Cricetulus griseus: one gene and its partners. The protein of the gene in region 2 binds, or shares a complex with, the protein of the main gene of each other region. Links are inferred from orthologs where the notes say so. Each region holds a gene or a part of one and is shown on either strand. Other genes may lie near its edges.

Region 1 (3,966 bases), about 100 Mb from region 2:
AACTGCCCATGAACTTGTAGCATCATCAGCGCTGATTATTGGCATGGGCCCCCACAATAAGCTCAGAATCCACATTTCCCCACATGACCCTGCATACTCACGGGATTGCTATCATCCTGATGTACACACCCCACCATGGCACTTCCTCAGTGGAAGTTTGCTTCCCAGTGAGTCCTTTAGGTAAAATCAACCTTACAGCTCTCACCGCGCACCTTGAAGTTTTCCACTGAGTAGTCTTCCTCACACTTAGTGCCTTTGTTTCAGTTGGGTCTCGAGTTACCCGTCTTTTCTAGTCACATTTTAAATGTATTTGTTTTGTTTCTCTAGCCTCGAACTCAAGAGACCCGCCTGCCTCTGGGATTAAAGGCGTGTGCCACTGTCGCCCAGCGGCTACTTGCACTCATTTTTAACAGGAGGGAGAGAAGTCATTAGACTTGCTCACTACTTAGAGCTCCAGGATCATACAGCATGGCGTTCACCTCTCCAGTACAGCCAGTCACATTTGCTTAATATTTCAAACTCTTTCGGCCTTCACGTGGACCACTCATTCATAAAATATTTACCGAACCTGTGTAGTCAAAACGCCGTTTCCCAACGCCGAGGATCTATCTACCTGGGAATAAAAACACCAGGTTGTGGCGAGAACTACCAAGAAACCGTCGGGTGGGTGTGATCAGCTTTTCAGTCAGGGACCGGTTTTCTGGGATATTTTCATGAATTTGAGAATGCCTCGAGTGCGAGTGTCAAAATGGAAGGAAATCTCGAGGCCGCAGAAACCAGCTGGTGTGGTTCGGGAGACACTAAAGAGAGTGAAGCCGTGCGAGGCCGACGTCGGACTGTGGGCAGGCGGGGGCGGCTCACTGGCGCTCAGGGCGGGCCCTAGGCTCGCACTGCACACCCGAGACGGCTCTCTTAGTAGTCGCTTGCCGACCGCCGATCGACCAGACAGACGCAGGAAGCCGGAGAGGAGTCTCCGGGACTCAGTCCTGAGAGGCGGGCGGAAGAGGCGGGGAGCGCCTCCAGCTGCAGGGGCGGCCAGCGTGCTGCGCATGCGTACGCCTGCTCTTCGCCCCCAGTCCGTTACCGCTCCGGTGCCTGGGAGGGGCGGGGCCGGGCCCGGACGCCGGAAGGGGGTTGGCTGGGCGGGGCTAGGAGGAGGCGGTGTGTCTGCGCGCGCGCGCGGGTGAGAACGGGAAACGCCGCGAGGGCCAGGCCGGGCGGTGGAGACGACGGACGGTGACCATGGCCGCGACAGCGGGCGGCGGTCCGGGAGCGGCAGCAGGCGCCGCGGGTGCAGGGGGTGCGGCGGCGGCCTCGGGCCTGGCCGTGTACCGGAGGAAGGACGGGGGCCCGGCCAGCAAGTTTTGGGAGAGCCCGGACACGGTGTCCCAGCTGGATTCGGTGCGAGTCTGGCTGGGCAAGCACTACAAGAAGGTGGGTTCGCGCGCGCGCGCCCGTGGGTACCGAGGAGCCACGCGACAGGAGCTGGCGGTGGCTGCGGGCCTCGCGAGCCTCGGGCCACCCCTCCCCCTCCCCCTCGCGCCACGAGGGACAACAAAGGCAGGCTCGCCTCTCGCCACGCCCCCGCGGGCGGCTCTGGGCACGCGGCGGGCCCGGCGCTCGCTGCGGGCTCTCCCGGGCCCACGCACTCGCGTGGGAAGCCCCAGCTCGCCCGCCGTTCCGTGCTTCTAGAAGCAGGTGGAGCCGGGCAGAGCCGCCGCAGGGCGTGTGTCCCCTGTCTTTTGTTAGCTTGCTTAGGTGTGTGAACAAAGAGACTGAGCCCAGCATAGTCAAAGTAGCTGCAAGTTTTGTTTAGAGATGAGTTTCTAAGTGGTTCCGTAACTAAGGGCTTGCTACCCGGTGTGGGTTCCCTAAGGGACCTGGCTTGGTTGTCTTGCGAGTTAATGTAGGTTTAAACTCAGCAATAGGAATGATACCGGACTATTAAAAGTATTTTTTTTTTTACTTTATTGTACTTTTTGTGATGCATGAAGATAGGAGTACAAGAGTTAACGTCTTTCGTCGAGAACTGTTTATGTCATGTATTCTTTGTAATTTTTTTTTAAATTCCCGTGTTTCTCCTACATTCTTTTATTTTTTTGTTTCTCCTACTTTCGAATGCTCATTTGGCTGAGTCAGTTGTTTACAAAGTTGTGAATTAACCAATTGGTATTTTTTAAAAAATTACATTTATTTATTTTTGAGGGGTGCATCCCACTCCTGTGTGGATGTCAACTTAAGCAAATTGGTTTTCGTCTAACACCACCTGGGTCCAGGAATCGAACTTAGGTCGTCGTCGTCAGGCTTGGTGATGAGTGCCTTTTTCCCCCCTTTTTAAAAAAGATTTATTTATTATGTACACATGTATGCATATGACAGAAGAGAGCACTAGGTCTCGTTAAGGATGGTTGTGAGCCGCCATGTGGTTGCTGGGAATTGAACTCAAGACCTCTGGAAGAGCAGTCAGTTCTCTAAACCTCTGAGCCATCTCTCCAGCCCCAAGTGCCTTTCTTTACCTGTGTATATTCACCTCACCGGTAGAGTAAAATTCCCCACTATGTAAATGTTAAAGAATGACTCTAAAACAATTCCTCCATTCCTCTCAAATTCAGTAGTGTTTACCCCATTGAGGACCAGGATTGATACGAGATTTGTTCTGGATTAGAGTTAACTGAACAGTTGTTGAATAAGTGTATGTTGAATGAATGAAAAGTTAAACTAGGACCTCGGGATTTAAATCGTTTTGTAGAATGTTTTGTAGAGTGTTCACTTAGTATGGGTTAGGTATAAGGTTTGAAACCCAGCACCTCATATGAACCACCACCTGTCATGGTGGTTGACATCTGCTACCTTTTGAGAGGTACAAGCATGAAGATCAGAAGTTCAAGGTCATCTGTCACATAGGGAGTTCGAAGATCAAGGCAAGCCTGGTGAACTGTTGGTATTTGACAGTGATGTTGGGTGTTTTCAGAAGTAACCCTGTCTCTAAGGCTTTAAAGTCAGAGAGTGTTGACTTATTTTAGCATTTCTCTCCCCTCTTCCCCTTCTTCAGGGTCTCACTATGTAGCTCTGGCTGTCCTAGAACTTAGGAGACCAGGCTGGCCTCAAATTTTCACAGATCTTCCTGCTTGTCTCCTGAGTGCTAGAATAGGCGTGAGCCATCACACTGGATTCATTAAGCATTTCTATTGTATTTAACAGTGTATTTAGAACATATAAATCAATGGTTTATTTCATTGTGTGTGTGACCTTCATGTGGGTGTCCACAGAAGCCAGAAGAGGGCATCTAATTCCTTGGAACTGGAGGTAAATGAAGTTGTAAGTGACATGGTGCAGGTGCTGGGAACTCCGCTCTGGTCTTTTGGAAGAGCAGCAAGCACTCTTACCTACTGAGCCATCTCTAGCACCAGACAGAACGTTCAGTCTCAGCAGTTAATATGAAACAAATGAGACTTTGAAGGTCTCTTTTCTTTTGAGGCCAGCTTGGCCTATATAAAACTTTAGAAAAACAAATGACCCAAAACCACTGTAGCTCAGAAGCCCCAGACCTTCCTTTGTAGCCTTTGATGGTCTTCAACGCCTTCCTGCTTCCATTTTTATAGTTGTGGGATTATGAGGATGAGTCACAATAGTGGGCTCAAATACAATTTTTCAGTTTATTTTTAGTTTGTGTGTGACTGTTTTGCCTGCATACATGTCTGTGTACCAAAGTGTGCCATATAAACCAGAAGGATCATTTGGGATCATCTGGAAGTGGAGTTGCCATTGGTTCTGAGCTCCCATGTGTGTGCTGGGAGTCAAACCTAGACACTCTGGAAGAGCAGCCATGCTCTTAAGTACTGAGTCCTCTCCCTCTCCAGCCCTAATACAGGTTTTGCATTTAATTCATTAATTATGCTTTCCTAGTGTCATGAAACTGTCTCCACCATCGGTTTGTCTTTTTCTTCCTTTTTTTTTTGTTTGTTT
Region 2 (4,179 bases):
TGCTGGAAAGATAGGCATCTGCCACTACACTTCTCCAGGGCCTGAAAAGGTACATACAAGTCACATACAGACCAAATTGGTTATATTTAGGAATATATATGTATATACATACAAAAAAAAAGAGGCCATGGATTTGAAGGGGGGCAAAGAGAGGTGATGATGTAATGTATTAGAATATCAAAAATAAAAGAAACAATTAAAAAAGGCTTGCTGGGTTAGCCTAGTGCCTCCATGTAAACATGTGCACACACATGTTATATTACATGTTATGTACAAGGTCAAGGATCTGGGAAATGGAGGAAGGAAAAGCAGCCATTAGAAAAAATGAAAGACAGCAGGGCTTTGGTGGCGCATGCCTTTAATCCCAGCACTCAGGAGGCAGAGGCAGGCGGATCTCTGTGAGTTCGAGGACAGCCTGGTCTCCAAAGCGAGTGCCAGGATAGGCTCCAAAGCTACACATAGAAACCCTGTCTCGAAAAAAAAGGAAAGAAAGAAAGAGAAGAAAAATGAAAGAGAAGGAGTTGGAGACATGGTTCAGTTGGCAGAGTTCATGTCTAATAAGAGTGAAGCCCTGGGCTCCCTCTCCTGAGCGTCACAAACTGGGTGTTGGCATAGACTTTGTAATCCTAGCACTCTGGAAGTGGAGGTGGGGAGACCACAAGCTCTAAGACACTCACCCTCAGATACATAGTGAGTTTGAGCCTACCCCTTGCTACACAAGACCCTGCCCCAGATAAAAGAAAATAAACCAGTTGTTATGGTACCTGAGGCAGAGACAGGTGGTTCTCCGTGAGTTTGAGGCCAGCCTGGCCTACAAAATAAATGAATAAGCCCAAAGACAAAGGCGGAAAGTCGGGGATAGATGGAGAGACGGAGAGACATACTTCTCTGGTCCCTCTCCCTATCCTCCCATTTCTCTGCATTTAGACTGGCTCGGGAGTCTGGGGGTGGACTGTTCTGCGACCTCTCCTTCAATTGCATTTTTTAAAAATTAAAAAATAAAGAACACTAAGGAAACGGGGTGGGGGGGCACGAAATCAGGGGATCCCATCCCATCCGTCACCCTGTGGAGTTCGAATCTGCTTCTCTTCCCTACTGTCTGTGTCTTGAGCCCGCCTCTAGGGTTCTTGCAGTGGAACCCTACTCCCTCCCAACCTCGGCATAAAGAAGCCGCTGCCCCTTTAAAGCGGCGGCCCCCAGCCGGGTTATTGTCTCTCTTTGTAACCAATCGGCCGCGCCGTTGGGGGCGGGGAATGCAGCCTCCTGATTGGTCGCCGCTGCGCCCCGCCCCGCCCGGGATCCCGGGAGCTGTCCGGCCACCTCGGTGCTGATCCCGCCGCCGCCCACGGGCCGCGAGCCAGCCGCGTAGAGAGGGCACTATGAGCGGGGGCGTCTACGGCGGAGGTGAGCCGGCCTGGGGCACCGGGCTCTCGGCCTGGTCTGCAGCCCTGCATCCCGAACCCGCGCGTCCCGAGCCCTGAGCATCCCTGGGCCTGTCACCTCCGTGCTGCATCAGGTCCAGCCTGAGGTTTGGGTCTCCCACGACTTCTGCTTTCCACCCCTCCTGGGGTTCCCAAGCGTGCACTGCCTCCCAGCCCCTGGAACGTCCTTCCCCTGCCAGGCCACTAGGCAAGAGGGAACTATGGTGGCTTTGACCCTCCACTTCCAGGGCGCCCTGAAGTCCAGGTGGATCTCCCACCTGCTCCATGCTGAAGTTCAAACTGTGGCTGTACCCCCAGACTCCTCTCCAAGCTATTTAGGGGGACAGTTTGGGAGAGGTCTCCTCACACACCTGTCTCCTTGTACAGATGAGGTGGGGGCGCTCGTCTTTGACATTGGCTCCTTCTCAGTTCGAGCTGGGTACGCTGGGGAGGACTGCCCCAAGGTGAGCCTTCCAGTCCCTCCCCAATTCCCTGGGGCTGGGATACCCTCTGCCAGGTGGGTCGGCCTATGAACAGGCTTGCACAGTTCAATGCAAGTAGCTCACCTGAGTGCAGACAGGGGAGGAAGCCCAGGGGTGGCCGAGGGTCTTGAGTGCAGTTGGACAAGGGATCCAGCTGGGCATGGTGGCACATTCCTTTAATCCCAGCCCTCTGGAGGCAGAGACATTCGGTTTTCTGTAAGTTCGAGACCAGCCTGGTCTACAAAGAGTGCTGGGCCAGCTGGGGACTTCATAGTGAGATCCTATCTCCAAAACAGGAGGGAGTAACCCGACTCCCCATTCCTGTTCCTCATTACCAGGCTGACTTCCCCACCACTGTGGGGCTGCTGGCCGCAGAAGAGGGGGGTGGGCTGGAGCTGGAGGGGGAGAAAGAGAAGAAAGGGAAGATTTTCCACATCGACACCAATGCCCTGCACGTGCCTCGGGATGGAGCGGAAGTCATGTCGCCCCTCAAGAACGGCATGAGTAAGGGGCCCCCATACACCACTTTCTGAAACAGACTCGGAGCTCCCCCCTCCCACGTGTGGACACAGATCTCCACATCCACAGAGTCTGATTTGATGCTGCCCAAGCCCCAAGAACCTCCTCACTGCTCCCTACAGGGATCTCAGACCAGAACCCCCTAGAATTCTGGAACTTAAGGGAGGGGGTACTTGTCAGCTGATGTTGGATTCAGCTCCTCCAGACTCGGCCTCCCTCCCTCCCTTACTTCCTGTCTCTGACCCTTGCCTTCCTTCCCACCGTCCTATCTGCCTCTCAACGCTGGCCCTATGTCCCAGTTGAGGACTGGGAGTGCTTCAGAGCCATCCTGGATCATACCTACAGCAAACATGTCAAGTCCGAGCCAAATCTGCACCCAGTACTCATGTCGGAGGCTCCGGTGAGTGCCTCATCCAGACCCGCATCGGCCCGGGGTCCCTGGTGACACATCCTTTCCACCATCACCTCTAACTTGGAGATACCACTCTCAGTCACTCCGCCTTCTTTTCCAGAATCTTCCTTCTCACCCTGTCGTCTTCAACCACGTACATGTCTTACTCCCTGGCTTACTCTCCATCTCTGCCTTCTCTCTTCTAGCTCCATCCACTCCATTGCCTATTGTTGTTCACATATACTTAACTTTTTGGTCAGTGTTATATAAACAAACCCTACTAATGTAGCTCACTTGGTAGAGTGCTTGCCTGGAATGTACGAGGCTTCGGGTTCAGCCCCCACTACTGAAGGAAGAAAGGTTAAGCCTGTAATCCCAGCACTCGAGGTAGAGGCAGGAGGACCAGCAATTCAAGGTCATCTTCAACTACATAATGAGTTTCAGGACAGCCAGGACTACAAAGAGAGACTCAGTTTCAAAAACAAAAACAAAATACCTATCTCCTCATATATCTTTTTTGTTGTTGAGAATTTCATACATGCCTATAATGTTTTTTATTAAATATACCACGTCTCTCTCATCAGTTCTCCCCTAATTTCTCCTACCTTCTGTCTCCCAAATTCATGTCCTTTAAAAAACAAACAAGCAAGCAAAACAGACTAGGTCCACTTAGTGACAGACTGGGTTCACTTAGTGCTGCCCACTTAGTACCATCTCTGTGTACACAGGTGTGAGACTATCTATGGGAGCATGAGTCTCTCTCAGAAGCCTTAGCCCTAGCTGGGTGGTGGTATCACACGCCTTTAATCCCAGCACTTAGGAGGCAGAGGCAGGGGAAGCTCTGTGAGTTCAAGGCCAACCTGGTCTACAGAGCAAGTGTCAGGACAGCTAGAGCTGGTACACAGAGAAACCTGTGTCAATTTAAAAAAAAAAAAATCTGAGTTTATACTCTTTTATATCTTACAGGCTAGTAAGAGCTGATTCGGGCATGGTTATTTTTTCATTCTCATGCAACTTTTGTCTTCCCCAGATCTAAGAATTGTTTCTATTTTACTTAATTTTTCTATTTATCAATGTAATCCTAAGTTACCCATCAGATATCTATGTATTTTCTCAAGACACTAATTCCATGATATATTCTATTAATTTAGTGTTACTGAAAAAATCCCTCTCGGAGGCCACTGACACATTCCACTTTGGCTTAAATTTGGGAAATAGCTGTTATACTAACATCTTTCTTCAGCATTACCTAGCAGAATCTCCTTGTTTTTCTTCTAAGAAAAGTGGGTGCATCTATGACTTGACTCCTTTTCCTGATTCACACCTTTGTTTTCATGGAGCAGATCCTTCAGCAACCACTTAGCTC
Region 3 (3,500 bases), on a different chromosome or scaffold from region 2:
ATTTCTTGTGAGTTCGAGGCCAACCTGGTCTACAAGAGCTAGTTCAGGACAGCCTCCAAAGACACAGAGAAACCCTGTTTCAAAAAAACAAACAAAACAAAACAAAACATTTGAGAAGGAGATGAGTTCAGAGTGGGATTTTTGTGGCAGGTTTTTATTTACAATGTAACTCACACTTCTTCCTGGTCTCTATTTTGTAGATCAAATGTTTCCTAGATTTCAAAGCAGGAGGATCCCTGTGCCACATTCTGGCAGCTGCCTACAAATTCAAGAGTGACCAGGGATGGTGAGATGCCTTCTCTCTGCTGTTCATGTTTAGTTTAAAGAAAATTCCCAGTGTTTCCTGGGGTCCTTCTGAAGCCAGAGGACGCATTAGAAATCCTATGTGTCTTTTATTTTGATAGATCAGAAAAATAGATGGCATAGCCAGAACAGTCCCCAAGAACCAGTGTGTCTGGGAAGAGGGTTTTTAGGTTGGCATCTCAAACTTTGTCCTTTTGATTTAACACATAGAGTGAATCATGCAGTTGTGACTTGGGCAAAATTTGTGACAATATTACCTCCTAATTGTTAAGAAGTTCTGTACCAAGCTGGGAGTTGGTGGCACAAGCCTTTAATCCCTGTACTCAGAAGGCAGAGACAGGTGGATCTCTGTGAGTTTGAGGCCAGCCTGGTCTACAGAGTATGTTCCAGGAATAGCTGGGACTGTTACACAGAGAAACTCTATCCTGAAAAACCAAAAAAACAAAAACAAAAAAACAAGTTATGTACCCTTGGGGCTAAAGACATGGCTCAATGGTTAAAGCACTGGCTGCTCTTGCAGAAGATGTGGTCCTGCTCCCACATGGCTGCTCACAACCCTCTGTAACCCAGTTACAGGAGATCCAATGACCTCTTACGGCCTCCTCAGGCATTGCATTTACATGGTGCTTACAAACATGGCGAAACATCCATATACATAAAATAAAAACATAAATGAGTCCTGTGCCCTCACACAAACTATAACTTACTAGATTATCATCCCTTTACAAGGCGGCGTTACGATTTCCAGAATCCGTCTCGCATGGACCGCAATGTAGAAATGTTCATGACCATTGAGAAGTCCTTGGTACAGGTAACGTTCAAGCCCTTCCTCCCATCCATTTTCCTTTTCGCAGAAAGAATATAAAGCAGTCTCTCCTCATCTCATCCACTTCTCCTCCTCACAGAATAATTGCCTGTCTCGACCTAACATTTTCCTGTGCCCAGAGATTGAGCCTAAGCTGCTGGGAAAATTAAAAGACATTGTTAAGAGGCATCAGGTAAGTGTGAAGGGAGGCAGGTAAGTCAGGCTCCTGAACTCCTGACTGGTTCACGCATTGTCACCCCTGTTACAGTGCGTTTCTCCACAACTGATGTGTCTTCCATCAGGAAGCAACTTGTGCCACGTTCTCCCCTGTGCTGTGGCCCTCTCTACTCACACTTTGAACAGCACTTGTCCTGCTTGTCAGCTCTGTTCCCCAGGCTTGATAGACTTATCACTGCCCCTTGGCACTATATTGGCCTGGATGAAGGAGAATGTCTTCCACTGAACTAGACAGACCTAATTTCAGATAAACATAACCCTGCAATCAGGTGCCATGATGTGCCCTGGCACTTAGGAAGTGGAGGCAGGAGGATCAAAACAGTTCAAGTCATCCTTGGCTACATAGTGTATTCAGGCCTGCCTCAGCTATAAAAGTGATGCTATTAAAACAACCACAACAAAATCTCTCTTCTTTGGAACTGCTTTTTATTTGTTTGTTTGGTTTGGTTTTTCGAGACAGGGTTTGTGTGACTTTGTAGACCACACTGACCTTGAACTCACAGAGATCCACCTGCCTTTGCCTTCTGAGTGCTGGGGTTAAAGACATGAGCCACCACCACCCTACTGGAACTACTTTTTAATGAGAAGTGGGATATTATGGATGGGCACAGAGTCCACTTTAAATTTCTGGTGGGTAGGGCTGGGACGATGACTTCAGTTTCTTATGTAAGTATGAAGAACTGAGTCTGGATCCTCAGAACACATGTAAAACCTGGGTGTTGTAGTTTCTACCTATGACTCGAGAGCTAGGAAGTAGAAACAGGTAGATCCCGGGGACTTGTTAACCAGCTAATCTGAAATGTCAAGCTCCTGGTTCACTGTCTTAAAAAAATAAGGTGGAAAATAGAAGCTAGAGGTCACTTGTAGTTGACCTCTAGCTTACACACACACACACACACACACACACACACACACACACACACAGGCAGTACGCCACACACACACACACACACACACACTCACTCACACACACACACACACACAGACACACACACACACTCACACACACACAGACACACACACACACACAGACACACACACACACACACACACACACACACACACACACACACACACACACACACACACACACACAGACACACACACACACACAACACACACACAGACACACACACACACACACACACACACACACACAACACACAACACACACACACACACACACACACACACACACACACACACGCCACACACACACACACACACACACACACACAGGCAGTACGCCACACACACACACACAGACACACACACACACAGGCAGTACGCCACACACACCTCTCCACTATGCAGCGCATCCACACAGAGGGTTGTCTGTGGTAATATTTAATTCGTTGGCTTTTCCCCAATGCTAACACATCGTTACCACTGTGTTTTTTTGCCACGTAATGCCATTGCAAGAAAGATGTAGTTAGACGGGCAGGTCTGTGCTTAGATTTTAATTCTTATATTTATACCTGAGAGTAACTCAAAAGGAAGTAGGTTTACCTGCTTTTCCCTGTGCTATCCAGGGAACCATCACTGAGGATAAAAGCAATGCCTCCCATGTTGTGTATCCTGTCCCAGGGAACCTAGAAGAAGGTGAGACCGGGTCTTCCTCTCTGCTATGATGGCTTGGGCTGGTGGATGGAGGACAACTTAGTTCACCATACACACCTGAGGCTCTGGGCATTGCAATCCTGAATCCTCATCCCATGGATTCCCGTTATTGAGTCTCCTGCTAGAAGAGCAGAGTGCTTAGGTAGAGTCTTTGTCTAGTCCTTGTGTTTCCCTCAGCTTATTGCTCCCTCTTCTCTGTCTCTATCCTCAGAGGAATGGGTGCGACCCGTCATGAAGAGGGACAAACAAGTTCTTCTGCACTGGGGCTACTACCCTGACAGGTGAGGATGGGTTCTCAGGGCCGTCAGGAGAAGCAGCAACCAGACACAGAAGCTGTCTGGCAGAGCAAGAAGGCACTGTTCTGGGTGTTTATTTCATTATTTGTTTTTTGGGGGGGTGGGGGTGGGATACAGAATTTTGCTATGTAATCCAGGCTGGCACGGAACTTGCTATGTAGATCAGGCTGGCCTCAAACTTGTAGCAATCCTTTTACCTCAGCTTCCTCGGTGCTTGTATGTAAACTGGCTTTTGTGTG
Region 4 (4,173 bases), on a different chromosome or scaffold from region 2:
GGAGAACATTCCCTCTGTTGCTTGTCCTGGCCAATGAAGACATTCTGCAGGGCCAAAGGTTAGGCCCCCTCCGTGCAATGCTGGGTCCTGAGGGCTCAAATTTTAATGTGTTCCCACAAATTCCCTCAGGCCTTGTCCCTCCCTCATCCTAGTTCTGACAGCTGCCGTCCCAGGAAGCCCATAAGTGTGACCCTTAGTTGTCCCAAAGCCTGCGGGCTCCTCCTCCAGAAGGTGGGAACAGGCGTGGCTTCTGGCATGGGCGGGGCCTGAGCTCAGCCTAGGGATCTCCTTTCTGTTCTCCCTCCACTCGGGGGTCGGCCAGTTCTCTCCCTACGGTCCTTTCCGGGGCTCCCTCATCCTCTCCCACTCCACACTCCTGCTTTCTCTTCGGTCCTGGAGCGGACCTCAGCCCCCCAGCCCCCCTGGGTCTCCATGCCAGAGCCACCAAACCTTGTTTGCTCACTCTTTCCTCCTTACCCACCCAAGTACGCATCCCGGCTCGGCACGATTCCCCACACTCACTCTTCCTGTGCTCAGGAGCCCAGTCCATGTCCCCTTTTCGGAAAGACTTTCCCCGGTTGCCCTCACTTTCCCACACAGAGGCAAACAAAGACTCACGAGCCCAGAAATAGCCTCCCTCCGAGCTGGAAGGCACAGGCCGTGTCCTGCCCCGCGCGCACGCACGCTCGCACGCTCGCACGCGCAGGCACGGCGGCTCCCGTGGAGGGAGCACACCGGTGCCCGCACATAAACATCCACACCCTCGGCCGCTGCGCCGAGCCACAAAAGGGTGCAGACACGCGGAGCGCGAGGCACGGGCACACCCACGGCGGCCGGCCCTGGACGGCTGCAAGGCCCGCTCCCGGCTCGCCCGCCCCCCCGCCCCCGGATTCCTTCCAGCAAATGTTTCCCTACTTGGCCTGCCCGGTCCCTGGGGAAAGGGCCTCAGAAATGCTGCAGGAGCCACTTGGGGGAAGAAAGTTGGAACTGCCCGTTCTCTGCCTGGCCCTGCCGGCGAATTCCCCAACCGAGAAACTGTTTGTGGAGAAAGAAGGCAGGGTGGCGGGCAAGCCCCCCCCCGTCCCCTCCCTAGACTGTCCCTCCCCGTGCCGCCACCGGCGAGCCTCCGGCGGCCTGGGCGCTCGCTGCCCGCCTCGCAGCCGCTGGGCGGACCGGCCTGGCTCGCCGCGTCTCTGCGCCGTTTGGACCACGCGGGTGCACGGGAGGGCTGCTGTGTCCCCGCGCGTCGCAGGCAGACCCCGGGCCGCCGGACTATTTCTGTCTTATCAGTGCAGGAATGCGGCAGCCGCGGCGGCGGCGGCGGGCGGCGGCGGCGGGCGGGCGGCGGCGGCTTGGGCCGTGGGCCGTCAGGGCAGCCCTGAAGGGGCCCCCTCCCCACTCCGCTCGAGTAGAAGTGTGAGAGAGCCCAGCAGGACTCAGAGGGGAGAGTTGGAGGAAAAAAAGGCAGAAAAGGGAAAGAAAGAGGAAGAGAGAGAGAGTGAGAGGAGCCGCTGAGCCCACCCCGATGGCCGCGGACGAAGTTGCCGGAGGGGCGCGCAAAGCCACGAAAAGCAAACTTTTTGAGTTTCTGGTCCATGGGGTGGTGAGTGGGGGAAAGTTAGCGGGGGAGGGCGAGCGAGCTGGCTCGGGCTGAATGGAGGGATGATCGGGAAGGGCCGCCGGCGCGCTCCCGCTCTCCCACCCCTTTGGTTGGGGGGCGCACGGTCACGGCCCAACCCTGGGACCTTGCCGGCGCCCTGGCATCCGAACACGTCGCCAAGCGGTCGGCTGGGGATGGGCGCGCGGCGGCAGGGAAGAGAGGCGTCGGCTTGGGCTCTTGTCAGGGGCAAGGGGTGGGATGTGGGCACCGTGCCCCCCAAGAGGTGGGTCCCCTCTGTAGCTGACACGTCGCCCGTTCTTTTTTACTGGTGGGCCCAGGTGTTACCCCTGCCCTGGGGTGGGGGTGGGGTGGCGACTGGAACACACAACTAGGGTTGGGCTGCCTGTTGTCCTGTTCATCCACAGGGGCAGTGTCACTCTGACTGGGTCTGAGGAACTAGGAGCAGGTGACCCTGGAGGCACCTGAGAGCAAAAGCTCCCTGGCTGAGCAACCTCTGCAGCCTAGCAGGAGGGTCCTGAGGACTTGGCCCTGCTGTCAGAGCTAAGAGAGGCCTACTTAAGAGATGGACCCCAAGTTAAAGGGGTCAGGGGATCCCTTGGCAGGCTCAGCCACCAGAAGTTGATGACCTTAATACCTCAAAGGTGTGAAGGGATGGAGTTGGGGACATGAGGCCTAGAGATCAAAGGGTTAACACTATAGTGTCCTGCCACAGACATGTGAAGGCACACGAGGGACCTGAGGGTTCCAGGGACCTGAGGAGGGAGATGACTGGGTTGAGTCAGTGGAGAGCCTGGCTGTAAGGCGCTCCAGGCTTGGGGATATGTGATAGAGGGAAAAATCAGTCAAATTTACTATGGCCAAATTTGGTTGTGACTCCAAGAAGCACCTCCTCAGTGAAAGAGGCAAGGGCCCCCAAAACCTTGACCTCTTGTGATTGTGGTGCTGGTGGCAGAGCCCCTGGAAGCCCCTTCCTCTCAGTAAACCAGACAGTGTGGGTGGCCTTGATGAGTAGCAGGGCAGCTGATAGGGAGGAGGGCTTCCCTGTGGCAGCCTGCCCTCTAGCCACAGGGATCTCTGGGGTGCAGTTCCCAAGGCAGTCCTGTGGGTTAGTGGAGTTACCAGTCCTAACCTAGCTGCCTGGGGGAGTTGCTTTACAGAGTCCCATTCAGTGAAGAGGAGGCTGCCCATGTGGATTTGAATATGGCCAACTTGGAGGGTCAGTCCTTGAGTGATCAAGGCCCCCTTATTAGTAGTGGGGAATGACTAGGCCTGGCCTTCCACCCTGGTGGCACTGGTGGTATGAGTGACAGAGTCAGGTGGAATGGGGGAGGCAAACTCAGGAACTGGCCGGTTACACTACAGAAGAGATGGCCAGGGACAGCTGCTGGTAGAGGGTGGTAGAGGGTGGAGACCTTTGGTCTGAGCAGTCGGGGTTTCTTGGTTCTGGGGTGAGATGAGGAGTATTTTGTATTTGTTTATTGTGTATTGAGGCAGGGTCTCCTGTAGCCTAGGCCTCGAACTCACTATATAAGGGAAGATGGTCTTGCTCTTTCTGTCCCCACCTTGAGATTGGGATTACAAGTGCAGTTTCTTTGGTGCTGGGAATCGAACCCTGGGCTTCACATGTATTGGGCAAGCACTACACCAAGCTACATCCCTAGCCTGAGATGAGGGTGTGTAAATAGTAGGGTCTGCACCCCCACATCACCTCCTTGTTCCTGGTTAGCCCCTAAACCTCAACTCCCTTTCCAGGCCTGGACAAGTGGACTCTGGAACACCCCGCTTGCGTTTACACCTCTTCTGTTTTGATTGACTGCCCAGAGGTGGTGGCTGGGGAAATACAACCTGCCTCATTTCCCTCCAATTTGTACCCTTACTAGGATGGGGTGGGTACTGGGTTCTCTCTCTGATGTAGGCAGATGGGAGGGAGATGTGGCTTCCTTCAACCATCCCTGCCCTCTGGCAGCCCACTTCTAGTCCAGTTCCCCACTTGCCACTCGGAAAAGCTCAGACCCTCGGGTGCCTTTGCCCAGCCTCTTGTATCACCTTGGGAGAAATGAAATTAAGGAGGCAGACTAAGTCAGAGACCTGGAGTCAGCTGAAGGGGTTATTTGAACACCAAGGGTCCAAACCAGGGGTGCTGAAAGGGAGATGGGGGCTCACATACAAAGCCCCAGAAGTGGGCTGTAGAAAGCAGGAAAGCAGCGGGGAGCAAGGCCCGTCAAGGTGCTGCCTTTGTCGGGATGAACGGGGTGACCTTGGCGAGGTCGCTTTTTCTCTTTGAGCCCCAGTTGCCCCATCTGTCAATTGGGGATAAAAAAGACCGGCTCTGGCTGGCTTGCAGAAGACCGTGCCTGCCGATGTGAACATCCTTTGAAAGGTTGAAAGGCGCCATTAATATTCATTTTTGCGGTACCTTGCACGGCTCCGAGGCTCGGCTATGCCCTGGGCAATTGCCTGGCTTCAGTTAGCTTCCTGCAAGGAGCCGGCGAGCCCCCTCCTCCAGAGCCACGCAGATTCCCGCGCCCCCGCCCCTCCCACAATCACTCCCA
Region 5 (3,500 bases), on a different chromosome or scaffold from region 2:
TAAAGTTAAAAGATCCTTAGTAGAATCTGACCTATTGACTTAAAAAAAAGAATAGGAAAGCCTGCTTTAAGCCTTGCTGTGTAGCAAGCAGTAGAGGAATGTGATTAGAACCCTGTGTAATGCTGGTAGGATTGTGAAATGGCTGAGCCACTGTGAAAAACAGTACGGTAGTTCTTAAAAAAAAAAGAAAGGAAAGAAGGAGGGAAGAAAAGCAGAATTTCTATATGGGCCACCAAATCCACTCTTGGGCCTGAACTCAAAGTAATTGAAAGTAGAGACTTGATACTTTATGCCCCTATGTCTACAGGGTATTGTGATGTATTTTCTAAAAAGAGTGTAGTTATCATATTCACAGTGACTAGAGCATGAAAGCAATCCAAGTATCTACTGACTGATGAACTGATAAGCACAGTATGGAATATAACACAGTCTAAAACGGAAGGACATCCTGACACACATCACAGCACAGATGAACCTAGAGTGCCATAACATGCTAAGTGCAACATGCTGGCCTCAAGAGAGCTAAATTGTATGAAATACTTGGTTCACTGATTGACTCTGTTTAAAACCAGGATGGTTTTCTATTTGTATCTTCTTTGAATTGTTCTGAGTTCAAGTATTATTATTATTATTATTATTATTGTTGTTGTTGTTGTTATTATATAATTATTATTATTAATCTTGACCTGATTAAGCATCTCTCTCTCTCTCTCTCTCTCTCTCTCTCTCTCTCTCTCTCTCTCTCTCTCTGTGTGTGTGTGTATGATGTATGTATGTGTGTGTATAAATGCTACATATATGTGCTTGCATGTGGAGGTCAGAAAACGACGTTAAATCTCCTGGAGCTGGAGTTACAGGAGGTTGTGAGCTGCCTGACTGGATGCTGGTAACCAAACTCAGGTCCCCTGGAAGATCAGCTGAGCCTTCTCTCCAGTCTCACTGTTTTAATTTTTATTAATTAAATTTATTGTGTGGAAATTTTATACACATAATACATTTGGATGACCACATCTACCTCCCTTATAGCTCACCCACCGGCATTGACCTCCCCCTTTCCATACAACTCCTTGTCTCACAATCATGTCTTTTTGTTTTGTTTTGTGCCCTACTGTGTTTAAGCAGGACTGTGCGACCATGGGTGTGGGACTATGCACTAATGGGCTCCCTGTGGGGGCTCTGCCTTCTGTAACTCTCCCTCAGCAATTCCTAAGTGGGAGGGGGAGGCAGACATTTTAAATACTTCTCTTGCTTGATTTTGATCAGAGAAAGTTCTTTTCCTTTAACTGTGGGTTTAGAAGATCCTTGCTTCTTACAATGAATGGCTGAACTGCCTGTATAGTCTTGGTCTATCCTAAATGCTTCTCTGTCATAATAGGAATCTGGGTGTGTTTTGGCAACTTCTGAGAACCAAGTGTGGAGGTGCACAAAGCGGGGGCTCTGGCAGCTGGATGTTTTGTAAGTCCTATGCAGAACACTGCCATGGAACCACCTCCAGGGGCCTGCCACTTCTCAGCCTCCCAGGACAGGGCTGGTCACCTTTACTGATGGTTTGCTCTTTGGGCTTTATTTTAAAGGAGTTTCTAAGTGACTTGGTAGATATGGGACAGGACATGGAATCTGGTAGAGAGTTGATGACAAATGGGGCTCCTGGTGCTCATTGGCTTGGTTGCCATAACTGTGGCTTCTTCCTGGGGACAGGGTAGGGGACTGCTTCCCTCTGGTGGTGTTTCTACTTTCCCTGGTCTCACTCCTTTGCTGTCTTGTCTCCTGTAGGCTTGGGGATCAGTTCTACAAGGAAGCCATTGAGCATTGCCGGAGCTACAACTCCCGGTTGTGTGCAGAGCGGAGTGTGCGTCTCCCCTTCCTGGACTCGCAGACTGGGGTGGCCCAGAACAATTGCTATATCTGGATGGAGAAGAGGCACCGAGGCCCAGGTGAGCCAGGCCACTGCTGGGACCAGCATGAGTTTGGATGAAAAAGTCCTGTTGTGTCCGGGAGTCCACACAACTGGGTAGGGTGGGGGTCACAGATGGATGAGGTGTTTATCTGGAAGAGTCCAGTGAAAGCAGTTTTCATTTTTCACCCTTGGGTGTTGGCTAGAATCTGCAAATGTGCTTACCTGTGGGAATACAGCTTAGTTTTGTCATCAGAACTCTGTCCCCGAGGCTTGTCATCTCTGAAGTGTGGATAATCTCAGTATTTACTACACAGAGTTTATTGGGATTAAATGACAATATCTACAAACAACTCAATATGTATATGCTCTAAAATGCTGGATATTATTGCTGTCATGACCATGACTGTAATCTTGGATTCTTGGAATAGAATAAAAACTCACTGGTATAGATTAGGGAGACAGCTAGCTCTAGAAATGCAGTTTTCTGTGGTCATACTTATTTAAAAATGTAATTTTGTGTGCATGTGTATATACACACATATGTGTGTATACCCATCCATGTGTGTGTGTATATGGGATGTGTGTATGTGTGTGGGGGATGTGTGTATGTGTGTGTGGGTTACATGTGTGCATGCAAGTATCTTCCTTAATTAGTTGCTCGTCATCTTGCATTTTGAGTCAGGTTCTCTCACTTTTACCCAGAGCTTGCTATTCAGCTCAGCTGGCCAGTCAGTGAGTCCCAGGGGTCTGCCTATTTTTTTCCTTTCCAGCACCAGGATTAAAAATGTGTGCATTTACATGGATTCTGAGGATTGAACTCAGATTCTGTGCTTTCATAGTAAATACCTTACTGACCAAGCCATCTCTGTAGCCTCTGGTTTATTGTTTTTTTTCCTTATGTTTGATAGGGTCTCACATAGCCTAGGCTGACCTCAAACTTGCTATGGAGCCAAACCAAACTTGCTATGATCTTGACCTCTTCCTGGTCCTCTTGCCTCTATCTCTTAGGTACCGAGATTAAAGGCATATGCCACCACACCTGGCTCTGTATGAGTATTTTAAACAAACTTCTGTTTGGAAAAGTTTCATATTCGTGTAAAACTTGGATAATGGCAGAGAAAACTGAAATCCTCATGGTCAAGTTCCACAACAGTCGCTTATGGCCAATCATTACACTCATACTTAGCTGTTAACTTTCTCCCTGACTCTGGATGACGTTGAAGTAGACCTGGGACAACACATCATTTCATGTATAAATACTATGGACTTAAAATGTCAAATCATTTGGGTGCAGTGGGACATGCCTGCAATCACAGTATTTAGGAAGCTGAGACAAGAGGGTTGCAAGTTGGAGGCCAGCCTGGGATACATGACAAGATTTTACCTGGAAAGATAAAGGAAATAACCAATCCATCTCACAACTGCTATCAAATCATGTAGTCGGCACCCATTTCTCCTTCTGCCTCTAGTGTAAACCAGGCTCCAAATAGGATTCTACGTTGCAACTGGTTGATGTGCCTCTTAGAAATCTGCAGGCTTTTCTCTGACACACTCTCTCCCTTGTATGTTATTTGTTGAAAAAACTGGGTTGTTTGCACCGTAG
Region 6 (4,088 bases), on a different chromosome or scaffold from region 2:
GAAATCTTGAGTCTTAGCCCGGTGGGTGGAACACCCCCTGCTGGACAACGGGGTATTTGTATTAACACTTGATATGCTAATTTATGCAGCCACTCAAATCAGAGTGCTAAGTTATTCCCCAGAGGGTGTGTGTGTGTGTGTGTGTGTGTGTGTGTGTGTGAGAGAGAGAGAGAGAGAGAGAGAGAGAGAGAGAGAGAGAGAGAGAGAGAGAGAGGGAGAGAGAGAGACTCGGTAGGTCAGCTCTTCGCTGGGGTTCTGTTAGGAGGATAGGGTGTGTGGATGCCGAGGGAGAAGAGTGGAAGGGACCAGGTGAATGAATCTTTCGTCTTTCAGTGCTACCTTCAGACAGCAGTCAGGGGCAGAGAACAGGTAAGGTTTCTCCTCCAGATCTCAAAGTCCTCGTCTGGAAAATAAGGACAGTAATAGTTTAGTCTGGGGAGAGCTGTGTTAAGCAAATGTTAAGTAACCACTCAACGTATATTTGTTGGACACCTACTAGGGCGGGCAGGCATTATTCTTTCTAGAGCGGCGTAACCACTTTATGCCTTGGTACGTGTCAGATCCTCTTTGTAGATGTCTTCTCTGTGGAATAAATGGATTTATTAGTACTTGCCAGGTACTATTTCTTCATGTGGGACTGCGATTGAACCCATGGGCTCTCGATCACTTTCTTTTACCAGAACCACCCCCAAGCCCTGCTATGTATCTTTGAAAACACTTTACAGCGACTGGTGTGGTTTCACACACCTCAGGGAGGCAGAGGCAGGAGAACTATAGTTTGAGGCCAGCTTGAGCTGGACAGTAGGATTCTGTCACGAAAGCAGCCACTTACCCTGTCACTCATCTACTCTTCAGTCCGATGAGGTGTTATAACTATTTTCTAAAGGAGGAGACAGGCCCAGAAAGGTTAAGTCATGTGCCCGAGGTCCTATCAGCGAGGATCTGAGCCCGGGAAGGATGACGACAGTCCTGTAGTCCTGCGGAGGAGTGGACCCGGGTGACCGACCGCGACAGTCAGCCCTGGGACACGATGGGTGCTCCAGAGTTTGGAGGGCATGGTGGGAGAGGTGGCGTCAACTCCGGCATGCTGGTGACACGGCTGGGTGGGCACTGGCGAGGTCTGGGCGCCTGTGGCGGGGCGTGAGTGAAGGTGGGGTGTGTGAGAGCCTGCGAGCCGAGCGTGGCTGTGTGTAAGCGGCCACGTGCGCGTGTGTGCGTGCATGCGTCTGTGCACGTGGGACCGGGGACTGCGTGATCCTCCATCCCCCGGTGCCCCGGGTTAGAGGACCCGCGGGGGGACTACCACTCCCGGCATGGCCCGGGCGCCCCGCCCCGCCGTCCTGATTGGCTGAGATCCGCGTGCTCCCGCCCCCCGGGAATGAATGGATGGGCGGCCTCAGCGCCCGCCCGACCGCTGGGAGGACCGACCCGGCAGGGACCTGCTGGGGGCAGGACCCGGGGAGCAAGATGGCCACGGTCATCCCCGGCCCCCTGAGGTGGTGCGGGCGGGCGAGCGGGCGAGCGGGGCGAGTGGGAGGCGGGGGCGGGTCTGCGCGGCCGCGCGCGCGCGCGTGTGCGTGTCTCTGTGTGTGTGTGTGTGTGTGTGTGTGTGTGTGTGTGTGTGTGTGTGTGTGTGGCCGCTGGGGGTGGGGCCGGTGGGGTGTCAGGGGGCTGTCACCGTGTGCGAGCGAGCGAGCGGGGGTGCGAGCGTGTGTGACTGCGGGTGTCTGGCAAGGGTGATGTCCGGGGCGGGTGCAGGGCGTGGGGGAGGGGTCCCCCAGGGCTTCCAGGGGACGGGGGTCATGTCCCCTCCCGGGGATGCCACGGTCTGCAAGAGGGGGAAGCGGCGTAGGGAACCTGAGTACACGCGAGTCGAGCCCACGCTACCTTTGTCTTGGGGCGTGGAGTGTGTTGTGCGACTTGTGCGTTGCTTTTTTGTTTTGTTTTCTGGCCGGATGTGTGGGTATGTGCGTATGGTTGTCTCTTTTATTCTGCACGGTGCCCATCTGGGCATTCGGGTCCCCTCCGAGTGTGTGCGCGCGCGTCTGCTGAGGCTGCACCCTCGAGGCTGCGTCTTTGCACGGGGAGGTGTGAGGCTGGGTGCGAGCACGGGCGGACCTGGCTGTCCCTCCGTCTCCGAGGCGTGTACCTGTGCTTGGGAATGCGCTTCGAGTTTGGGGTCGCGTTTCCCCCCGGGTGTGAGCGTGCGCGCGTGTGACTGCGTGGTCTCTTTGTATCGTGTGTTTGACACCCCGTGTCTTTGGAGAGAGGTGTGTGGGCAAGCCGCTTTGGACACCGTGCGACTGTTGCGACGTTTGCGCGTAGTACGTTGCCACGCCGGGGGGCTTTGTGGACAATGTGTTTATCTTGGGGGTCTCTGGATGCGTGGCGTGCAGAGGTAGTTTTATGGCCTGTTTCTGACCCCAGTCTGTGTGTCTGTGTGTCTGTGTGTGTGTGAATGTGTTTGCTTCTCCTTTGTGAATTTTGGGATATGTTTCCCTTTGTGTGTGAATCCCGTGTGGCCATGTGCGATTTGTTTGTTTTGGGTGTTTGGCTACGTTCGTGTGTGCATGGGTCCCGCTGCTGCTGCTGCTGCTGCTGCTGCGTTTCGCTCTGTGAACACACTTCTTACTTAACCTGAGACATAATCAAGTTCCAGGTAGCGGCCTCCCAGCCAGCCAGCCAGCCAGCCAGCACCCCGCCCCGCCCCCGGGTCCCCAGGGATGGGAGGAGGAGGAGGGGGAGGGGGCCCTGGCTGGTTCGCCCTTTGCGGACCGGCGGCGGCGGGAACGGGAGGCCCGGGGCGTGGGGGGGGGGGTGGTGGTGGAGGGTGCTGGACCTCCCTGGCTGACAGCCGCTCGCCCGCTGCTCGCCCGCCCCCCTCAGCCTCGGCGAGGACTTCTACCGGGAGGCCATCGAGCACTGCCGCAGCTACAACGCGCGCCTGTGCGCCGAGCGCAGCCTGCGCCTGCCCTTTCTCGACTCGCAGACCGGCGTGGCCCAGAACAACTGCTACATCTGGATGGAGAAGACCCACCGCGGGCCTGGTACCCGCCGCGAGGCTGGGGCGGGGCGGGGCCTGCGTCCCGGGGCCGCACGCTCACTGCCGCCCTCCCTCCCTCTCCCTCCATCCCTCCCTCTCCTCCAGGTCTGGCCCCAGGACAGATCTACACTTACCCCGCCCGCTGTTGGAGGAAGAAACGGAGACTCAACATCCTGGAGGACCCCAGGCTGCGGCCCTGCGAGTACAAGATCGGTGGGTGGAGCTGTGGCCCCTGCGCCCGCTGTGGCCCCCATCGAAGTCCTCAGCCCCACTGCTGTCAGCCAGAATGTAGCCTTTATTTCCCCTGGGTGTCTCCACAACAGGCTATCTGTGTCGTCGTCGTCCCCCCCCTCCCCGTGTCTTGAGTTACTTCCTTTGAGTTTCTGAGCTTCCAGATGTACCTGCTGTGTGGGCCGTGGCGAGCAGGTGTACGGAGGACATCCTTTTATCTGTGTCTAGATAGATAACTGTGTGCGCTCCCCTGTGAGCCGGGGTACGCCCATGTCCCGCTGTGTTTCTTTCTGTGGGTGCTGGAGGGCATCTGGCTATCTCCCTGTGTGTTTGGATGACTTAGTAGTGTTTCTCAACCTGTGTTTTGGGGTTGCGTATCCGGTATCCTGTATACCAGGCATTTACATTACGATTCATAAGGGTAGCAAAATTAAAGTTATGAAGTAGCCACGAAATAATTTTGTGGTTGGGGGGTCATTACAACATGAGGAACTGTATTAAAGGGTCACAGCGTTGGGAAAGTTGAGAACCACTGAGTTGAGTGTCTCATTGTAACTGTTGCTGAGTGTTTTAGAATGCCTGTTTCTTTCTAGGTGTTTCCAAGTGTGTGTGTGTGTGTGTGTGTGTGTGTGTGTGTGTGTGTGTGCTGGGACTGTGTATATCTACCTCTTCTGGGGGTATATATGGTTCCACCAGAATGTCCTGCTGGGGTCCTGATGCTGAGAAATTGCTATGGAGATTTTCGGCTTGTTTCTGTGTTAGGTGCTTCTTGAGGTGTGTGCTAGTTCATAGACTGACTGGAGTTAGTGCTTTC
Region 7 (4,212 bases), on a different chromosome or scaffold from region 2:
AGGAATGGAGCTATGCTGGATGCTAAGCCAAGAGTGTTAGAGACAGAAGAGGCTGGGGATTGGTGACTCTTGCAGCTGGGGCAGTGGGTACCCACAGACAGAAGCGGAAGTCCTCATTCGGTGGCCTTTCTCTCCTCTGGGTGCCCAGTGCCCCTCCCTCACTTTGATAGCCAGGCCCACCACTTGTATTTTTTGGTGAGGCAGGGTTTGGTCATGTGAGGAAAGAGACAGGCCTAGAGGAGAAGTTGAGGGCTCTGCTGTTGTGTGTCCCTACCTTAAGGGACCACAAGTTGAAGAAGAGGGCCTCCCCACCCCTACCAGGCATTCTTCCCAGGCCAGAGCTCCAACCCTTTGCAGGACTTCTCTGACTGCACTGTCTGTCTCTTGGCCTCTAATCCCCAAAAAGGACTTGTGGACAGACCACCTGTGTGCGTTGGCCTGGAGCCAGAGAGTGGGGCTATAGCATCTCTGAGAACTCTTGGTTCTCTAGAGTTCTGTAGACAGCAGACTCCCCAGAAGGAAACAGGCACAAAGCTGAGAAGTATCCACTGGCTGGGGGACAGCAGGCGGGGCTCTGAGTGACGCATGCCTCTGGTCTAATAAACTGGGTTTCAACCATCTCCTCCTCAGTGTTGTTCTTTTTGGTTGAAGAGTTTATAAGGATTACCATTAGAATGCAGCCTGCCTTGAGGGCCATGTTGACTAGAGTAAGGAATTTGGGTAGTCCAGTGTGGTGGCTACACCTGTAATTCCAGCACTTAGGAGATGGAAGCAGGTATCTTTCATTACAGAGCGAGTGTACTACTAGGCTGGGCTACATGAGACCCTACATATTTGATCAGGTAAACACTGGTCCTCCTGGAAAAGGACAGGTTCAGGAATAGTTTGAATCACTGGGCAGTGAAAGAGCAATGAACAGCAACAGATTTCCAGGACCTTCGGAGAGGATTCATGGCCAAAATTCATTAATATCTGAAGGCAATGGTCTGAGATGAAGGGTGAAGTTCCCGCGTCGGAGAGTTATTGAGCCATTATCTGTGAAATGAAGCCGGGGCTACCAGCCAGGAGACCAGAATCTAGGATGGCTTTTCTTTTAATTTGCTGGTTTGTCTTTGCCAAGACATTTCCCTCCTTTGAGTTCAGCTTTTCCGTTTGTAAAACGAATAAACAGCACGTTTCTCTCTTTCGTACCCGGAGTTCGAGCAGTAGGAGAATGGAAAGCAAAGCAAACAGAATGCTTTGGAAAGGCAAAAGCACTGTGTTGAGATGACAGTGTCTCCAGCCTGCGGTGTGCGCTCGTCTCTTTCCAACGCCTTGTCGTCCTCCGCCCGCCTGGGGGCGCCCGCTCCCGTCACCTCTCTATCCGCACATCACTTCTCTATGGTGCCCCTCCTGTGCCGCGAAGGCGGGAGGGAGTGGTCAGCACGCCTTTTCCGCTAGTTGCCCCCTCTAGGCCTTAGTCTCGCTGCCCCGAGCCGCCCGTGCCCGCCGGCGGGCCGGGCCCACAAACAGCCCAGGCGCTCGGGGGGCGCGCGGGGGGCGGGGGGAGTTCCGGTTCCGGTTCTTTGTGCAGCTGCTGCGGCGGCTCCGGGAAGATGGCGGCCCGGGCGGGTTTCCAGTCTGTGGCTCCGAGCGGCGGCGCCGGAGCCTCGGGAGGGGCGGGCGTGGCGGCTGCTCTGGGCCCGGGCGGAACTCCCGGGCCTCCGGTGCGAATGGGCCCGGCGCCGGGTCAAGGGCTGTACCGCTCCCCGATGCCCGGGGCGGCCTATCCGGTGAGTGGGGCAGGAGGAGGGGCGCGTGGGCCGGGGGCGGGGCCGAGCGAGGGCGGAGAACTGACAGGGGTGAGGGAGAAGTGGGAGGGCCTCCCTTGGGAGGGGCTCGGGTCCTGGATGGAGGTGGGGGAAGCAATGCCGAGGAAGAGCGCGATTGGGGGAGGAGGTTAGCATCCTCACCTGCTCCCAGCGGCATTGTCTGCTTTTGAGGAGTGAGTGTGGAGCCAGGGTGGGTGAAGTGGGCCCGGAGGTGGGCAGCTCAGTGTCCAGAGGAACACTCAAGTTAGAGCTGCACGTTGAGGAGATAGTTAGCTGAGTAATAAAGTAAATGTAGAGATGTCTGGTGAGTCAGATCCCACATATTCCAGAAAATTTGAGTCTGATCTGGTTTTTAGACCCTATATTCTATGAAACCACTACCAGGCCTGAAGAAGGTCCAGTTACCGTATTTCAAAGAGGCAGAAAGAAGGCTGTGTGATTGTCCTCCACCCTACCTCCCCCACCCCCATCCTTGTTCATTCCAAAAATTCAGGCTTCCATCACTTTTCGTTTCTTGGTGGAGCTGTCAAGGAAAGGTATGACATCTCTGGGCCCTCTCCATTCTGTAGAGACCAGGCATGCTGCCAGGCAGCCGGATGACACCTCAGGGACCTTCCATGGGACCTCCTGGCTATGGGGGGAACCCTTCAGTCCGACCTGGCCTGGCCCAGTCAGGGATGGACCAGTCCCGCAAGAGACCTGCGCCTCAACAGATCCAGCAGGTCCAGCAGCAGGCGGTCCAAAATCGAAATCACAAGTAAGATGACGCCTGGGGTGAAGGAAAGAAGCTACTGGGAGACCTGTGAGGATTCAAGTGGTGGGAGTACTGAACCAGGAAGTGGTGGTGCTATGTCACCAAATGGTGCTGCAGAGACTCACCCTTGTGAAGGCTTCCTGGTGGAGGTGGAGAGGGAGTTGATGGTGATGAGAAAGCCGTTTTGCAGGCCTTAGCTGTGCCATCAACAAAGGTGCTGACAGCTTAGCTCATGTTCTGACAGTTCCATCCCACCCTGATAACAGTATTTATTCCGAACAGTGCAAAGAAAAAGAAGATGGCTGACAAAATCCTACCTCAAAGGGTGAGTGCAGGCTCTAGAGGTCTTCTTCTTGAAGATGTAGTGACTGAGAAAGTACAGGTGGTCAGCTCTAGGGCCCAATCGTATCTTTCTGTTCCTAAGATTCGGGAATTGGTACCAGAATCACAGGCCTATATGGATCTCCTGGCTTTTGAAAGGAAACTGGACCAGACTATTATGAGGAAACGGCTAGATATCCAGGAGGCTTTGAAACGTCCCATCAAGGTAACACAGGAAAGCACTGGGCAGTGGGTCAAGGGAGGGGACAGGAACCTTCTCCAGGCTTAGGATGAAAATTCAAAGGCACAGCATAGCCCTCCTTGGCATTTAAATTGCATCTTTCCCTTCCGCCTACAAACCAGGAATTACATTAGGAACATAAGAGTAGAGCAGCTGGCAGGGAAAGGGGCGGGGGAGCTTTTGATGTCTCTTGCACCAGAAATATACCCTGCCCATGTTTTTGCTATAACTACTTGCTACCTTGGGAACCTGCCACTTTGTATGGTTTTCTTCACCTGGTATCCCAGCATATTTATTTATGCTCAGGCTCAGGGCCTGTATTCTTCTAAGTGGAGTATTTATTCACCTATCATAAGCCAGCCTAGAAAACCTTTGTCTTTAACATCAAACTACTGAGGCTCCATCATCAATCCTGTTTCTGCCTTCCTCAGCAAAAACGGAAGCTGCGAATTTTCATTTCTAACACTTTCAATCCGGCTAAGTCAGATGCAGAGGATGGGGAAGGGACGGTGGCTTCCTGGGAGCTCCGGGTAGAAGGACGGCTCCTGGAGGATGTGAGTTGAAGGTCCACTGTGTTGGTGTTGTATTCAGGGTGGGAGCTCTTGGTGATGATCAATGTTGTATGGTCAGCAGGAAGCCTGACTGGTGCTTATAGGTCCTGCTGGGAGCTTCCGGAAGCAGAGGGGGGGTGGGGAGAGGGAGAAAGACCCTGTGTTCCCTGCACACAAAGACAATGGTCCTTTGTATCTGCTCCCACAGCTTCACTGGTATCAAATGGAAACCATTATTGTCCTGGGATCTGACTGGATGTTTACTCTGTCCTGGTGATGCTAGCCTTTGGATTTAGCAGCATCTGCAGATTACTTCTGTAGTCCCTCATCCCCACCTCCTGAGTCTATGCTTAGCATTTGAGGCCATGTTCCCTCTCTTAAGTCCTGGAAGTTATTTCTGTCTTCCCAGCTTTCATTGGAGATACCACAGTTTAAGTATGATAGAATTCTCCAAAGGCTTGGGCTCTTTGTTGCTCTAAGGGGAGTATCAGATCAGTGAGAGCCCCCACACTTCCCACCCAGCAGCTCCTTAGG

Evidence for each region.
Region 1: Actl6b (region 2) and Smarcc1 share a complex: the UniProt entries of both Homo sapiens proteins name them as parts of the BAF complex. The link is inferred for Cricetulus griseus from reciprocal best matches to the Homo sapiens genes ACTL6B and SMARCC1.
Region 3: Actl6b (region 2) and Smarcc2 share a complex: the UniProt entries of both Homo sapiens proteins name them as parts of the BAF complex. The link is inferred for Cricetulus griseus from reciprocal best matches to the Homo sapiens genes ACTL6B and SMARCC2.
Region 4: Actl6b (region 2) and Smarcd3 share a complex: the UniProt entries of both Homo sapiens proteins name them as parts of the BAF complex. The link is inferred for Cricetulus griseus from reciprocal best matches to the Homo sapiens genes ACTL6B and SMARCD3.
Region 5: Actl6b (region 2) and Dpf3 share a complex: the UniProt entries of both Homo sapiens proteins name them as parts of the BAF complex. The link is inferred for Cricetulus griseus from reciprocal best matches to the Homo sapiens genes ACTL6B and DPF3.
Region 6: Actl6b (region 2) and zinc finger protein neuro-d4 share a complex: the UniProt entries of both Homo sapiens proteins name them as parts of the neuron-specific chromatin remodeling complex. The link is inferred for Cricetulus griseus from reciprocal best matches to the Homo sapiens genes ACTL6B and DPF1.
Region 7: Actl6b (region 2) and Smarcd1 share a complex: the UniProt entries of both Homo sapiens proteins name them as parts of the BAF complex. The link is inferred for Cricetulus griseus from reciprocal best matches to the Homo sapiens genes ACTL6B and SMARCD1.

What each region holds. Positions count from the first base shown.
Region 1 is NC_048597.1:217,593,581-217,597,546, forward strand, and holds the start of Smarcc1 (SWI/SNF complex subunit SMARCC1), read left to right. Parts: upstream 1-1,166; 5' UTR 1,167-1,242; coding exon 1,243-1,434; intron 1,435-3,966. UniProt on the Homo sapiens protein: Involved in transcriptional activation and repression of select genes by chromatin remodeling (alteration of DNA-nucleosome topology).
Region 2 is NC_048597.1:116,471,933-116,476,111, forward strand, and holds the start of Actl6b (actin-like protein 6B), read left to right. Parts: upstream 1-1,379; coding exon 1,380-1,404; intron 1,405-1,808; coding exon 1,809-1,885; intron 1,886-2,241; coding exon 2,242-2,407; intron 2,408-2,721; coding exon 2,722-2,822; intron 2,823-4,179. UniProt on the Homo sapiens protein: Involved in transcriptional activation and repression of select genes by chromatin remodeling (alteration of DNA-nucleosome topology).
Region 3 is NW_023276806.1:129,429,130-129,432,629, reverse strand, and holds part of Smarcc2 (SWI/SNF complex subunit SMARCC2), read left to right. Parts: intron 1-200; coding exon 201-286; intron 287-1,032; coding exon 1,033-1,114; intron 1,115-1,208; coding exon 1,209-1,301; intron 1,302-2,877; coding exon 2,878-2,947; intron 2,948-3,176; coding exon 3,177-3,246; intron 3,247-3,500. UniProt on the Homo sapiens protein: Involved in transcriptional activation and repression of select genes by chromatin remodeling (alteration of DNA-nucleosome topology).
Region 4 is NC_048601.1:97,911,730-97,915,902, forward strand, and holds the start of Smarcd3 (SWI/SNF-related matrix-associated actin-dependent regulator of chromatin subfamily D member 3), read left to right. Parts: upstream 1-1,373; 5' UTR 1,374-1,525; coding exon 1,526-1,603; intron 1,604-4,173. UniProt on the Homo sapiens protein: Involved in transcriptional activation and repression of select genes by chromatin remodeling (alteration of DNA-nucleosome topology).
Region 5 is NC_048598.1:120,355,408-120,358,907, forward strand, and holds part of Dpf3 (zinc finger protein DPF3), read left to right. Parts: intron 1-1,773; coding exon 1,774-1,934; intron 1,935-3,500. UniProt on the Homo sapiens protein: Belongs to the neuron-specific chromatin remodeling complex (nBAF complex).
Region 6 is NC_048602.1:6,521,092-6,525,179, reverse strand, and holds the start of zinc finger protein neuro-d4, read left to right. Parts: upstream 1-1,288; 5' UTR 1,289-1,386; coding exon 1,387-1,499; intron 1,500-1,798; exon of another isoform or gene 1,799-2,659; intron 2,660-2,886; coding exon 2,887-3,047; intron 3,048-3,148; coding exon 3,149-3,256; intron 3,257-4,088. UniProt on the Homo sapiens protein: May have an important role in developing neurons by participating in regulation of cell survival, possibly as a neurospecific transcription factor. Belongs to the neuron-specific chromatin remodeling complex (nBAF complex).
Region 7 is NC_048595.1:396,140,200-396,144,411, forward strand, and holds the start of Smarcd1 (SWI/SNF-related matrix-associated actin-dependent regulator of chromatin subfamily D member 1), read left to right. Parts: upstream 1-1,412; 5' UTR 1,413-1,595; coding exon 1,596-1,772; intron 1,773-1,964; exon of another isoform or gene 1,965-1,984; intron 1,985-2,380; coding exon 2,381-2,568; intron 2,569-2,847; coding exon 2,848-2,890; intron 2,891-2,989; coding exon 2,990-3,112; intron 3,113-3,558; coding exon 3,559-3,681; intron 3,682-4,212. UniProt on the Homo sapiens protein: Involved in transcriptional activation and repression of select genes by chromatin remodeling (alteration of DNA-nucleosome topology).